Linked DNA regions of Arabidopsis thaliana. The protein of the gene in region 2 interacts with the protein of the main gene of each other region in a pairwise test. Each region holds a gene or a part of one and is shown on either strand. Other genes may lie near its edges.

Region 1 (6,745 bases), about 19 Mb from region 2:
AAACTGAGAGAGTCACATCAGGCTTATAATTCATCTGTTAGCTCATATACCAGTTCCTCTTGGTCCTCAAATCACCAGAACCATCTTATTGATTTACCCGGTTACGATCCAACCAGAATTCCATCCTCAGTTTTCTCTAGTAAACCGGGTAATTCGACGGAATGGAGTCTAGCTTCTAATGAATCTTTGTTTAGCATCCACGATGGGAATTTTAGCATTTCAACAGCGTTGAGATTGGCTGAGATACCGAGATTTGAAGAAACGGTTCACGTGATAACCGAAATCAACTCGGTTCCTCTTCCACCTCCGGTTAAGAAACCAAATGAATATGAGAAAGAGACGATTGCAGAGAAGGAACCATACCAGGTGGAGAACTCAAACTCAGATATTGAGGATAATGAAGAAGAAGAGAAGATGAGTGAAGTCGAGAGCGACGACGAACATGAAGAAGAACAAACAGATATGATCGAAGCGGAGGCTTTAGTAGAGAAAGAAGTAATAGAAACTGTGAAGGAGAATAAACCTGAAGACTCGAACAGTATAGTTTCACATTCTCCGAGCATTTCTTGTCGTTCGGACACTAGCAATAACAGCATTGGTTCTTTCGCATTCCCACTGTAAGTCGTTCTCTTCAAAATCTCAATTTATCGATCCATTTTTGATGATTTCTTGAGCAAGAAGAAACTTTAAAACCCTAATTTTACTTTCTTTGGAATTTATGTAACAGATTGCAAAAAGAAGATGCAGTTACCAAAACGCCGTCTATGCAAATCAAAGGAAACGTTTCCCACAAGCGAAGACCCGAGTATCAGCTGCCTCAATCGCGAATGCTACAGCCACAACAACAACTACAACCTTATTCAGAATCTAATATGCTAACTGAGTCTCAGCCGGAACCACAACCACAAAGGAAGGCATCAAAAAAATTCGAGTCTCGAACGCAATCGCTAAAAGCTTCAAGAACCTGCTGGTTCTCTTGCTTCCATTGTCCTTCAAAATGCGGTTCATTCAAGTAGAGGAGACTTTTAGCGTTTGCGTTTGAAGCGATTCCTCTTCTTATGTGTAAATTGTACGGATGAAAATAGTTGTAAACCAAGAGTGATGATCCAAACCGAGTTCTGGTTTTCAGGATTAACACCATATTTTGGTTCGATTAATTTCGGTTACCGGATGTTGTAAACCGGTTGATGGATGATATAACTCTTATGTCATGGTGATGCATACATACAAGGACCACATTTCATTATTACTTTATTTCAATACGTATCATTATTATAAGTAGTAGCTAAAAGACAGATATATTTCACTAAAAGAAAAACAAACCTTTTTTTCTTCTAATTGAAAAGGTTATAAACTCAGTCTTTTTATCCCCATAAATGTGGCTAATGTGTTGTGTACATGACAAAATTATAAATTTATATTTAAGAAAAAACATTTTAATTTGCTTTATCTTGAAGCTTCCTTTAGTTATATCCTTGAAAAGAGGCGATTCTGTCCCTTTTTCACTTTACAATTTCTCAATATTTTTGTTATAAAGAAACACATCTTTGTCACATGCATTTATGTATAGTGGCAGGCGATTTTTCTTTTAGCGTGAGATTATGAAATTTTCCTAATATAATGCATGTCCATATACATATATCTATCTGTAATAAATGTTAGCTTCAAGATCTTAGCATAACATTGGTCGATGAGAGATTGATACGTCTAGGAGAGTTGAAATATTGTTACATTTATTGTGACTCAACATATTTTATTTCATCACTTCGAATAAACAAAAAATTTAAAATAATCTGTCCTCAAATTTAGTGATAAGATAATCTTGCATCTACCTACTGTTATCAATCATGTACCTATTGCGATTTGATGTGGTGAGACTACAATGATCGATGTTAAAAACTTTTAATGTTAACTTCACTACATGATCGATAAATAATCAAAAATTGCTTCTTCCAAGTTAAAATTACACTAAAGAGTTTGTTAGCCAATAGGAAATAAGGAAAGTGGACCCACTCTCTCATTCACAGAACGATTTTTTATTTTTTTCTGCATAAATTAAATTAAAAACATTTTTAAGATCTTTTATCAAAAAAAAAAAAAAAGAGAGAGAGAAGAAAAAAACGCGTCTTCCTCAGTGACAGTGTTGAATTCTCTCATCTCTTTCTCTCTCTGCTTCATCAGTTTCTCTCACTACAAAGCTTCTCATCATCTCCCTAAATTAGGGTTAAAGGGTCGAGCTTGGGATTGTTTCGCACGGTAAAAGGAAGGATCTTTTGCTCGTCAATTGCTATATTAGCAGACCTTGCGAGGTGGGTTTAGGGTTTTGTTGTAAAAACATTTTTGGGGATAAGTTACGAAGATGACTTCTTTGCCTTCTTCAGTGATCAAATGGCGTTTTTTCCGCAGACAGATGCCTTCAGACGTTGTCTTCTCGCTCTGCTTACTCTGTTTCGCCTCCTGTCTCGCCGGAAAAATCACTGTTTTAGCTGATTCGGACAAATCCGTGTTGCTTCGGTTTAAGAAAACGGTATCGGACCCTGGTTCGATTCTAGCTAGCTGGGTCGAAGAGAGTGAAGATTACTGCTCCTGGTTTGGTGTATCTTGCGATTCGAGCTCTCGAGTCATGGCTCTTAACATTAGTGGCTCTGGAAGTTCTGAAATTAGTCGAAATCGTTTCACTTGTGGTGATATTGGTAAGTTTCCGTTGTATGGGTTTGGTGTTCGGAGGGATTGTACCGGAAATCATGGAGCTTTGGCGGGGAATTTGCCTTCTGTAATCATGAGTCTCACAGGACTTAGGGTTTTGTCTCTGCCTTTTAATTCGTTTAGTGGAGAGATTCCTGTAGGAATCTGGGGAATGGAGAAGCTTGAAGTTCTTGATCTGGAAGGGAATTTGATGACGGGGTCATTGCCGGATCAGTTTACTGGGTTACGGAATTTGCGGGTTATGAATTTGGGGTTTAACAGAGTTTCAGGTGAAATCCCTAATTCGCTGCAGAATCTGACAAAGTTGGAGATTTTGAATTTGGGTGGTAATAAGTTGAATGGAACTGTTCCTGGTTTTGTTGGGAGATTCAGAGTGTTGCATTTGCCGTTAAACTGGCTTCAAGGCTCTTTGCCTAAAGATATTGGGGATAGCTGTGGAAAGCTTGAGCATTTAGATTTGTCTGGTAATTTCTTGACTGGGAGGATTCCAGAGAGTTTGGGGAAATGTGCTGGTTTAAGGTCGTTGTTGTTGTATATGAATACGTTGGAGGAGACTATCCCTTTAGAATTTGGGAGTCTTCAGAAGCTTGAGGTTTTGGATGTTTCTAGGAACACTCTTAGTGGTCCATTACCTGTTGAACTTGGAAATTGCTCTTCGTTGTCTGTTCTCGTTCTATCAAATCTGTACAATGTGTATGAAGACATTAATAGTGTAAGAGGGGAAGCTGATCTTCCTCCAGGCGCTGATTTAACCTCGATGACCGAGGATTTCAATTTCTATCAAGGAGGAATCCCGGAGGAAATCACTAGGCTTCCGAAACTAAAGATACTTTGGGTGCCCAGAGCTACGTTAGAAGGTAGATTTCCAGGAGATTGGGGTTCATGTCAAAACTTGGAGATGGTTAATTTGGGTCAGAACTTCTTTAAAGGCGAAATTCCTGTCGGTCTTAGTAAATGCAAGAACCTTCGTCTTCTTGATTTGAGCTCGAATAGGCTTACTGGGGAGCTTCTCAAAGAGATTTCGGTCCCATGCATGAGTGTTTTTGATGTTGGTGGAAACAGCTTATCGGGTGTAATCCCTGATTTTCTCAACAATACCACAAGCCATTGTCCTCCTGTTGTTTACTTTGACAGGTTTTCTATTGAATCTTACAGCGACCCGTCGTCTGTTTATCTCTCCTTCTTTACCGAGAAGGCTCAAGTTGGAACTTCCCTGATAGATCTTGGAAGTGATGGAGGTCCGGCCGTGTTTCATAATTTTGCAGACAACAACTTCACTGGTACTCTCAAGTCTATACCACTTGCACAGGAGCGGTTGGGAAAGCGAGTCTCTTACATATTTTCTGCTGGAGGGAATCGGTTGTACGGGCAATTTCCGGGAAATCTGTTTGATAACTGCGACGAACTCAAAGCTGTTTATGTCAATGTAAGCTTCAACAAGCTCTCAGGTCGGATTCCTCAGGGACTAAACAACATGTGCACTTCTCTTAAGATTCTTGATGCCTCGGTGAATCAGATCTTCGGGCCAATCCCAACAAGTCTCGGGGATCTAGCTTCACTTGTTGCTCTTAATCTGAGCTGGAATCAGTTGCAAGGTCAGATACCGGGTAGCCTCGGGAAGAAGATGGCAGCTTTGACATATCTTTCGATTGCGAATAACAACCTCACGGGGCAAATTCCTCAGAGCTTTGGTCAGTTACATTCCTTGGATGTTCTTGATCTCTCTTCAAATCATCTATCTGGCGGTATTCCTCATGATTTCGTAAACTTGAAGAATCTCACTGTCCTGCTTCTCAACAATAACAACCTCTCTGGCCCAATCCCGTCGGGTTTTGCGACATTTGCTGTTTTCAATGTTTCCTCCAACAATCTGTCTGGTCCAGTTCCTTCAACCAATGGACTGACGAAATGCAGCACTGTTAGTGGAAACCCCTATCTTCGACCTTGCCATGTGTTTTCTCTGACAACACCGTCTTCGGATTCCCGAGACTCCACGGGTGATTCTATCACGCAGGATTACGCATCTTCGCCTGTTGAAAACGCTCCATCTCAGTCGCCAGGAAAGGGTGGATTCAACTCGCTAGAGATCGCCTCAATCGCATCAGCTTCAGCGATTGTCTCGGTACTAATTGCTCTTGTAATTCTCTTCTTCTACACAAGGAAATGGCATCCGAAATCGAAGATCATGGCCACTACAAAACGAGAAGTCACTATGTTCATGGATATCGGAGTTCCAATAACCTTTGACAACGTGGTTAGAGCCACAGGAAACTTCAACGCAAGCAATCTGATTGGAAATGGTGGATTTGGAGCGACCTACAAAGCAGAAATCTCTCAAGATGTGGTTGTCGCAATCAAACGCCTCTCGATCGGACGGTTTCAGGGAGTCCAACAGTTCCACGCAGAAATCAAAACTCTTGGTAGACTTCGACACCCGAACCTCGTGACTCTCATCGGTTACCACGCTAGCGAAACTGAGATGTTCTTGGTGTACAACTATCTCCCAGGAGGCAACCTCGAGAAATTCATCCAAGAAAGATCCACAAGAGATTGGAGAGTTCTTCATAAGATCGCTCTGGACATAGCTCGAGCACTCGCTTACCTCCACGACCAATGCGTCCCACGGGTGCTTCACCGAGATGTTAAACCGAGTAACATCCTCCTAGATGATGACTGCAATGCGTATTTATCAGATTTCGGGTTAGCGAGATTGCTTGGGACATCGGAAACGCACGCAACAACTGGTGTGGCGGGTACGTTTGGGTATGTAGCTCCCGAGTACGCAATGACATGCAGGGTATCAGACAAAGCAGATGTATACAGCTACGGAGTGGTGCTTCTAGAGCTGCTTTCGGACAAGAAAGCACTTGATCCGTCATTTGTGTCGTATGGTAATGGTTTCAACATAGTGCAATGGGCTTGTATGTTGTTGAGACAAGGAAGGGCAAAGGAGTTTTTCACAGCGGGATTGTGGGACGCAGGTCCGCATGATGATCTAGTAGAGGTTCTGCATTTAGCGGTTGTTTGTACGGTGGATTCTCTGTCGACGAGGCCGACGATGAAGCAAGTTGTAAGACGGTTGAAGCAGCTACAACCTCCGTCGTGTTAGCACCTCCCTCCGCAGGATTTGATTATTATTCTTTCTTTAAAAAAAGTTCTCTCAGTTGTAAACTTGTATGTGTACGTAGTAGTTGTTAGAAGAAGAAAGAGAGGTTGAATTTCCTATGGGTTCTCTCGAGGGTAAAAAGGACATTTGAAAGGGGAAGCCATAGGAAGGTTGATCTCTCTCAGTAAGCAGAAAACCATAAAATGAGAAAGAATTGTTTGTAGCTAATTTGTTTCTCCCACTTGTAAATTGTTTTATACTAAAGTTTTGTGGGAGTTTTTCTTTCTTTTTCGATTTTTAGTATGTTTAAACTGCCGATCCTTTTTGTTTGATTGACATTTCCATTTTGAGAAACTTGGGCTATGGGCCCAATAATATATGCGAATAAAAAAACTCGGGCTATGAGCCCAATATTAACTTAGAAGACCGACAATGCTATCAGTATAATCCCCATAAGAAAGCAATTCCACCCATTTGGGTTTGAATGGTACATCATTGGGTCTTGATTCATGATTGTCGATCTTCTTCGGTAGTGGTCTGGCTTGCTTTGGTTGAGTTGGCATCTTCATCCTTCTTGAAAGACAGCGATGTGAAAGGTTCTTCTATGTATCTAGTATCAAATAGAGCGACTCTCGCTACTACATGCTACTTCCATGAATAGTTAACGCCAAGCGTATTGCTCGATAATAAAGACGAGTATATCCATCCATTGGCTCAACATTTGTGAAACATCCGTTCGTTGAGGCTAACGGTTTCATTTGAAGAATGGAAATTAGAGCTTATAGCCATTAGTGTGTTACGAAAGATCACCGTTATCAATCATATATAGCCCCCTTCTTGGCTCACTTATCGCATTAGTTACAAAGCAGTCCTGACGATCCACAATTAGACTTAGAGAGAAAACTTAGTTCTCTTACCATGGTTTTGCTCCCT
Region 2 (7,104 bases):
AGAACCAGGGGAGTAGAATTTGAGGATCTCTTCTTTTTGCCTCTCAAGCTCATTAAGCTTTTCTTGCGCAGTTGCGAGCTCAGTTGTACGGATAATTCTGCACTGTAAAATAAGTAAAGACTGGTAAATCAGAGATATCGAAAAGGTATAACATGGTAAAACTGAACAAGAAAAGTTGGTTCTTGATACACACTTGGTTTCTGAGCTCCATTATCTGTGGCTCCTTCTCCAAGTTGTCTCCTGTTACATTTGATCAAATGGAAAGTTCTAGATTTCTGGATTGAACTAAAGTTTCCTGTAGAATTACATGAACCATAGAGTACTTACTAGCTAGCTGCAATGTTTCTCTACGGAGCTCATCTTTGATCTGACGGACAGAAACAAATCACGAAAAAATTAACGTCCAGAGACTATAACAAGGAACCAGAAAGCTGATGACATGATACAGGCTTTATCAAACAATATCAATGTATAGACTTGAAAGAGCACTAATGAATTATATCAACACAGAACTAAAGAAGCTACATATTCTTAGAGCTACAGATAAGACCCTCGGTTATCCAGAAACAACCGACTGTTTTAGAGACTATAACAAAGAACCAGAAAGCTCTAATTACTGGCAACATGTAGAAGATGACGCCATGATAAAGGCTTCCTCAAACAATATCAATGTATATACTTGAAAGAGCACCAATGAATAATATCAACACATAACTAACGAAGCTCCATTCTTAGGACTACAATTAATAGTAATACTCTTAGCTATCCAGAAACAACTGACTGTTTTAGAGACTTACATTATTCTGGACTTTGACCTGGTCAAGAGAGAGCAGAAATTGCTGATACGCATCTTTGTCAGAGAGAAGCTTCCTGAGTTCATCCACGCTACAGAAAAGTATACACTATTCAAAAAGAAGACATACAAAAAAAACGCACACTCGAGAGAAGGATAACAAACAAACAAACAAAAAGAGCAAACCTTTTGTCTTTCAAGAAGACGATAATGCCAGCTGCTTCACCCGGTGATACTTGTGCTGAAATCTGACCTGAACTTTGAGGCCGGGATGAGCTTGGCGAGCTAACTAAAGAAGGCGAGTACCATGGCGACTGTGAAGAAGCTTCCTGAGGACGAGATTGCCCTTGTTGTTGGTCTTTTGATCCCCTTCACGTACACAACAAAAAAAAGAAACATCATCAACTAACTATCTCAGCTTCCAAGTTAATATAATACATCACCTCATAAACTTGAAAGGTGCATTTATACAGCACATCATTGTAAACCTAATATCAGTAACTATGAACCCTAAATCAGTAGCTGAGCAAAATCTACACTTGTCAATTCACCTCAAAAACCTCAAATATATCATTATAGCTCAACAAACTACACAACAACAAGATTTCCTTAATCGCTAACAGACCTAATGTCTGGATCACGCAATTTCATCAATAACATATGAATCAGATGGCAAAAAATTCGCAAAATCATACCAGAAATTGAACATCGTTTCTAGAATTCGCCGACTAACGAAAGGAATTGACTTTTTCTTGTTCTCTTGTACTTCTTCTTCCTACCAGATCGACAAAATTTAACAACTTTACAGAAACAGAGTTTACAGAGTTTCAAAGAAAATTCGATCTTCTCTGTTTCGTTTCAGATTTTGCTACTTGCTTTTAAAAGGCCCAAATACGAGGAGGCCCATATTAAGTTTTGATTAACAAAACGTAGTCGTTTTATGCATCGTCGTCCTTATCCACGCGTAACGGTTCGCGTTTCTACACAGAGTCAAATATTTCTGCACGGAAGCTTCGAAAAGAGGTCATCAATGGAGTCTTCACTCTTTTCTCCATCTTCCTCTTCTTACTCTTCTCTCTTCACTGCAAAACCTACGCGTCTTTTATCACCAAAACCCAAATTCACATTCTCCATCAGATCCTCCATTGAGAAACCCAAACCCAAACTCGAGACCAATTCATCGAAATCCCAATCATGGGTCAGTCCCGATTGGCTCACAACACTCACTCGTACCCTTTCCTCAGGAAAAAACGACGAGTCAGGTATACCAATCGCGAACGCGAAGCTCGACGATGTCGCTGATCTCCTCGGAGGTGCTCTCTTCTTACCTCTCTACAAATGGATGAATGAGTACGGACCCATTTACCGTCTCGCTGCTGGTCCTCGTAATTTCGTAATTGTGAGCGACCCAGCGATAGCTAAACATGTTTTGAGGAATTATCCAAAGTACGCTAAAGGCTTAGTCGCTGAAGTCTCTGAATTTCTATTTGGTTCGGGTTTCGCTATCGCTGAAGGACCTCTTTGGACAGTAATTTCATCTCCTCCTATCTCAATTTTGAAGTTTTTGGAATTGTGGAAGTAATGTGTGACTGTCTTGTATGATAAGTAACTCTAATTTTAGGGTTTAGATTCCAATCTTCTCTATTGGGCTTAGCTGAAGTCTGATTTTTTACATAGGCGAGGCGTAGAGCGGTGGTTCCATCGCTTCACAGGAGGTATTTGTCTGTGATTGTGGAGAGAGTATTCTGCAAATGTGCAGAGAGGCTTGTTGAGAAGTTGCAGCCTTATGCAGAAGACGGAAGTGCTGTGAATATGGAAGCGAAGTTCTCTCAGATGACACTTGATGTCATTGGGTTGTCTCTTTTTAACTACAATTTCGATTCTTTGACTACTGATAGTCCTGTCATTGAAGCTGTTTACACTGCTCTTAAAGAAGCTGAGCTTCGTTCTACTGATCTTCTGCCATATTGGAAGGCAAGTTTCCTGTGTTTTTTCTGTGGTTTGTTGATTGTGTGGAACAATTGGATTCTTGTTAATTGAGAGGGTTTGGTTGTTTTTTTCAGATCGATGCATTGTGTAAGATAGTCCCGAGACAGGTGAAAGCTGAAAAGGCTGTAACTTTGATAAGGGAAACTGTTGAAGACCTTATTGCTAAGTGTAAAGAAATTGTCGAAAGAGAAGGCGAAAGAATCAATGATGAGGAGTATGTAAATGATGCTGACCCAAGTATCCTGCGTTTCTTGCTTGCAAGCAGAGAAGAGGTTTAAACTTTTTTCCTTAAGTTTATAAGCAAATTTGGCCTTTCATTATCGCATAATCGAAGCTGATGTTGCATTGTGAGGGTTTTCAGGTATCAAGTGTGCAGTTACGGGATGATCTTCTCTCAATGCTCGTAGCGGGTCATGAAACCACTGGATCTGTCCTCACTTGGACACTTTATCTCCTAAGTAAGGTACCTTAATGTATCTTCTACTTTGCTATGCTAGAGAATTTACTTGGATGGGAGCTTCTCTGTTCTCATTTACCTCTTCAAATTCTCTATGTTCATAGAACTCATCTGCATTAAGGAAAGCACAAGAAGAAGTAGACAGAGTGTTAGAAGGAAGAAACCCGGCTTTCGAGGATATAAAGGAGTTGAAGTACATCACTCGTTGTATAAACGAGTCAATGCGTCTCTATCCTCATCCTCCTGTAAGCAATCAAGCTCATCTCTCTAATTATTCATGAACTAAATTTTCTGATTGATTTGTTTCCTGGTAGGTCTTGATAAGAAGAGCTCAAGTTCCTGACATTCTTCCTGGGAACTATAAGGTCAATACCGGACAAGACATTATGATTTCAGTCTATAACATCCATCGTTCTTCCGAGGTACAGTTCTCTTCCTTCTCTCGTCCATAGTATAACATAGGGGAGCCTAATCCTTCTCTTCAATGATCTTTGTGTGGTTCGGATATCTAACCGGAGTGGACATTCCTAGTATTACATTCATGCCCACATTTCTTATGTGTTTGTTGTTTGTTATTCCAAAGGTATGGGAAAAAGCTGAGGAATTTCTGCCTGAACGATTCGACATAGATGGCGCAATCCCTAACGAAACAAACACTGATTTCAAGTAAACTCAGTAGAACACATCTTTTGACACAAACTACTGAATCAAGATTAGTGGTTTTGATTAGGGAATTTAAAAGATGATTTTCTTTTTTCACCAGATTCATCCCATTCAGTGGAGGGCCTAGAAAATGTGTAGGCGATCAGTTTGCATTGATGGAGGCAATTGTGGCACTCGCGGTGTTTCTTCAGCGGTTAAACGTTGAGCTGGTTCCTGATCAGACCATTAGCATGACCACAGGAGCAACCATACACACCACCAATGTATGCCAATGTTCTCACACTCGAGAGATTAATGAGAGTGTCTGTTTTGTTTAGAATGATTCCAATTTCTCTAATGCTGATATTTTCAATTTCAGGGATTGTATATGAAGGTGAGCCAAAGGTAAAAACCAGAATTTATGTTTTCATGATAATTGATTGGTGTGAATGGACTTGTTTCATAGTACTCTTGAGAAATAACCACAAAAAAATGAATTATGGAAAATAGTTGTACCATCGGAAATGTGAATTTTGAACAGTGAGATGCTAGTACCATTAAAGTTTGGTAATTGTGTTATCATTTCAAATCAAACTTTCATACAGCTTGTGTTTGTTCTCCATTTTTCAGTAATTACGAAAATCAAAATTTTATTTTTTTTTGAATTTCTAAATAATAGACTAAGGTCTAAAACCATCCCATTCCATATGGACCACACGTAACATTAACCTTAAAAACCATATAAAACCATATAAAACCAATACTAGTGGGTTCTATAGCGATGTGTAGTTTCACTTTCACGTACGAGGAAGATTAAAAAAAATGGAGAACGAAAGCTCAGAGAGTAGAAACAGAGCTCGTCTTGCCATTATGGAGCTTGCTAACATGATTAGCGTTCCCATGTCTCTCAATGCCGCCGTGCGACTAGGCATTGCCGACGCCATTTGGAACGGCGGAGCCAATTCTCCTCTCTCTGCCGCCGAGATCCTCCCTCGCCTCCACCTACCATCTCACACTACCATTGGTGGCGACCCCGAGAATCTTCAGCGTATACTTCGGATGCTCACCAGCTACGGTGTCTTCTCCGAACACCTTGTTGGATCCATTGAGAGGAAATACTCTCTTACGGACGTCGGAAAAACTCTTGTAACCGACTCCGGCGGCCTCTCTTACGCTGCCTACGTCCTCCAACATCACCAGGTTTATGACTCATTTTCATTTTCCAAAATTGGAGTGATATATTAAAGGACTAATGATGGTATAATAAACTAATGTCTAAAACTTGTTGTGAAAATGATATATATTACAGGAGGCGTTGATGCGAGCATGGCCACTAGTTCACACGGCAGTGGTGGAGCCGGAGACAGAGCCGTACGTGAAAGCAAACGGCGAGGCGGCATACGCTCAGTATGGGAAAAGTGAGGAGATGAATGGTCTAATGCAAAAGGCAATGTCTGGCGTATCTGTACCGTTCATGAAAGCTATATTAGACGGCTACGATGGGTTTAAATCAGTGGATATTTTGGTTGACGTAGGAGGTAGTGCAGGGGATTGTCTGCGTATGATCCTTCAACAATTTCCTAACGTCCGTGAAGGGATTAATTTCGATTTACCTGAAGTTGTTGCCAAAGCCCCCAATATTCCTGGTGAGATTTTGTATTTATGATATATTGTACGTACGTTATTTTCTGAAAGTAAAAAGCTATTTTTAGTAATGTACGGAGTAATAATGGATGATATATTGTATGGTTTAGGAGTGACTCACGTGGGTGGGGATATGTTCCAATCAGTTCCTAGCGCTGACGCTATCTTCATGAAGGTTTGTTGTAACATTATTGTCTGTCACGAGAATACACCTACTAACATTTTTGCTAATAGGACGAATTCTAGTTTCTGTATATAGTTTTAATGTTTAGTGATATAGGTATAAATTTATAAGTCGCTTCGGACAATATGTTTGGTAGTATATAGTCTTAGTTATCGTTAGATCATGCGACTGGTCACTTTCATTTATTTATGATCATTTAAATATTGATTATACATTTCTCAAACCAAAAACTTGTGATCTGTTAGACCATGGATAGGGATCTCATGTTTGTTGAAAGAACAACACAAACAAATACACACATTTTTTGCTTCTCTGGTCCCAAATTAATATCTTGTAATATTGTTGTTTGAGTGTAAAGTGGGTGTTAACGACATGGACGGATGAAGAATGCAAGCAGATAATGAAGAATTGCTACAACGCGTTACCAGTTGGAGGAAAGCTGATTGCGTGTGAGCCGGTCTTGCCTAAGGAAACCGATGAAAGTCACCGGACTCGTGCCTTGTTAGAAGGTGACATCTTTGTCATGACCATCTATAGAACCAAAGGTAAGCATAGAACCGAAGAAGAGTTTATAGAGCTTGGTCTCTCCGCGGGATTCCCTACTTTTCGACCTTTCTACATTGATTACTTCTACACCATCTTAGAGTTTCAGAAGTAATATTCAAGCATTTTTCTTCTCATATTTCTAAAAGCTTCAAAATAATGAATCAAAAGACCTCTTTGTTAATTGAGTTGAGATATCTAGTGAAGACATTAATATTTTCATCAAGATGTAATAATCTAAAGTCTATATTCTAAGTGCATCCTTAAAAGGCATTTTCCATATATATAAGTTTCATCTTTCGAGAAAAAGGAAAAAAGACTCTTTAAGTGATGATTTCAAGAGTATTTCTAAATCACTCATTAGGCTAAGAGAAGAGTTCGAAAGTATACATATTATGCACATTATATCTATATGAATTTTTCTTCTTTGGCAAAAAGAAAAATCGTTTGGTGTTATTCTTATAAATCTTATGTCAACTTCTACATTCGATTTTTCTACACGAGACTCAATTGCTCCAAAACATCTTGGATTAAAATTGAAACGTTAATACTCGAAGATCCCTTTTCTTCCACAGCCTTTTTCGCCATTACTGCAAGTTCTTGAATACGTCTCCTTCGTCTCACGAATTCATTATCATCATCATTTTCGTCTACACGTTGACAATCTTGGTCCATCAAAAGCTTTATAGCTTTCACAACACTCGGTTTCTTGACCAACACTCCAAGTCTCTCCTCGTCTCCCCATCTCACCGGAATCTCCACCCCAACCCTAACCCCGATGTTCAAAACCTCCACGATGAGTTTCTCATTGAGAAATTGTTCAGCGAACAACGGCCATGTGATCATTGGTAC

What was found.
Region 1: the proteins of LUT1 (region 2) and RPK2 interact in a protein complementation assay, tested with the Arabidopsis thaliana proteins (one large-scale study listed by BioGRID).

What each region holds. Positions count from the first base shown.
Region 1 is NC_003074.8:378,367-385,111, forward strand, and holds RPK2 (receptor-like protein kinase 2), read left to right. Parts: upstream 1-1,983; 5' UTR 1,984-2,359; coding exon 2,360-5,815; 3' UTR 5,816-6,216; downstream 6,217-6,745. Other genes in the region: AT3G02125 (pinin-like protein), read left to right, coding at 1-617, 728-1,016.
Region 2 is NC_003074.8:19,690,989-19,698,092, forward strand, and holds LUT1 (Cytochrome P450 superfamily protein), read left to right. Parts: upstream 1-1,768; 5' UTR 1,769-1,823; coding exon 1,824-2,321; intron 2,322-2,470; coding exon 2,471-2,767; intron 2,768-2,856; coding exon 2,857-3,054; intron 3,055-3,143; coding exon 3,144-3,245; intron 3,246-3,343; coding exon 3,344-3,484; intron 3,485-3,553; coding exon 3,554-3,661; intron 3,662-3,822; coding exon 3,823-3,905; intron 3,906-4,002; coding exon 4,003-4,165; intron 4,166-4,260; coding exon 4,261-4,290; 3' UTR 4,291-4,703; coding exon of another isoform or gene 4,704-5,081; intron 5,082-5,190; coding exon of another isoform or gene 5,191-5,527; intron 5,528-5,635; coding exon of another isoform or gene 5,636-5,700; intron 5,701-6,067; coding exon of another isoform or gene 6,068-6,367; 3' UTR 6,368-6,554; downstream 6,555-7,104. Other genes in the region: VPS37-1 (Modifier of rudimentary (Mod(r)) protein), read right to left, coding at 1-102, 194-240, 328-367, 798-885, 980-1,162, 1,489-1,502; AT3G53140 (O-methyltransferase family protein), read left to right, coding at 4,704-5,081, 5,191-5,527, 5,636-5,700, 6,068-6,367; UGT73D1 (UDP-glucosyl transferase 73D1), read right to left, coding at 6,748-7,104. UniProt on the Arabidopsis thaliana protein: Heme-containing cytochrome P450 involved in the biosynthesis of xanthophylls. Specific for epsilon- and beta-ring hydroxylation of alpha-carotene. Has only a low activity toward the beta-rings of beta-carotene.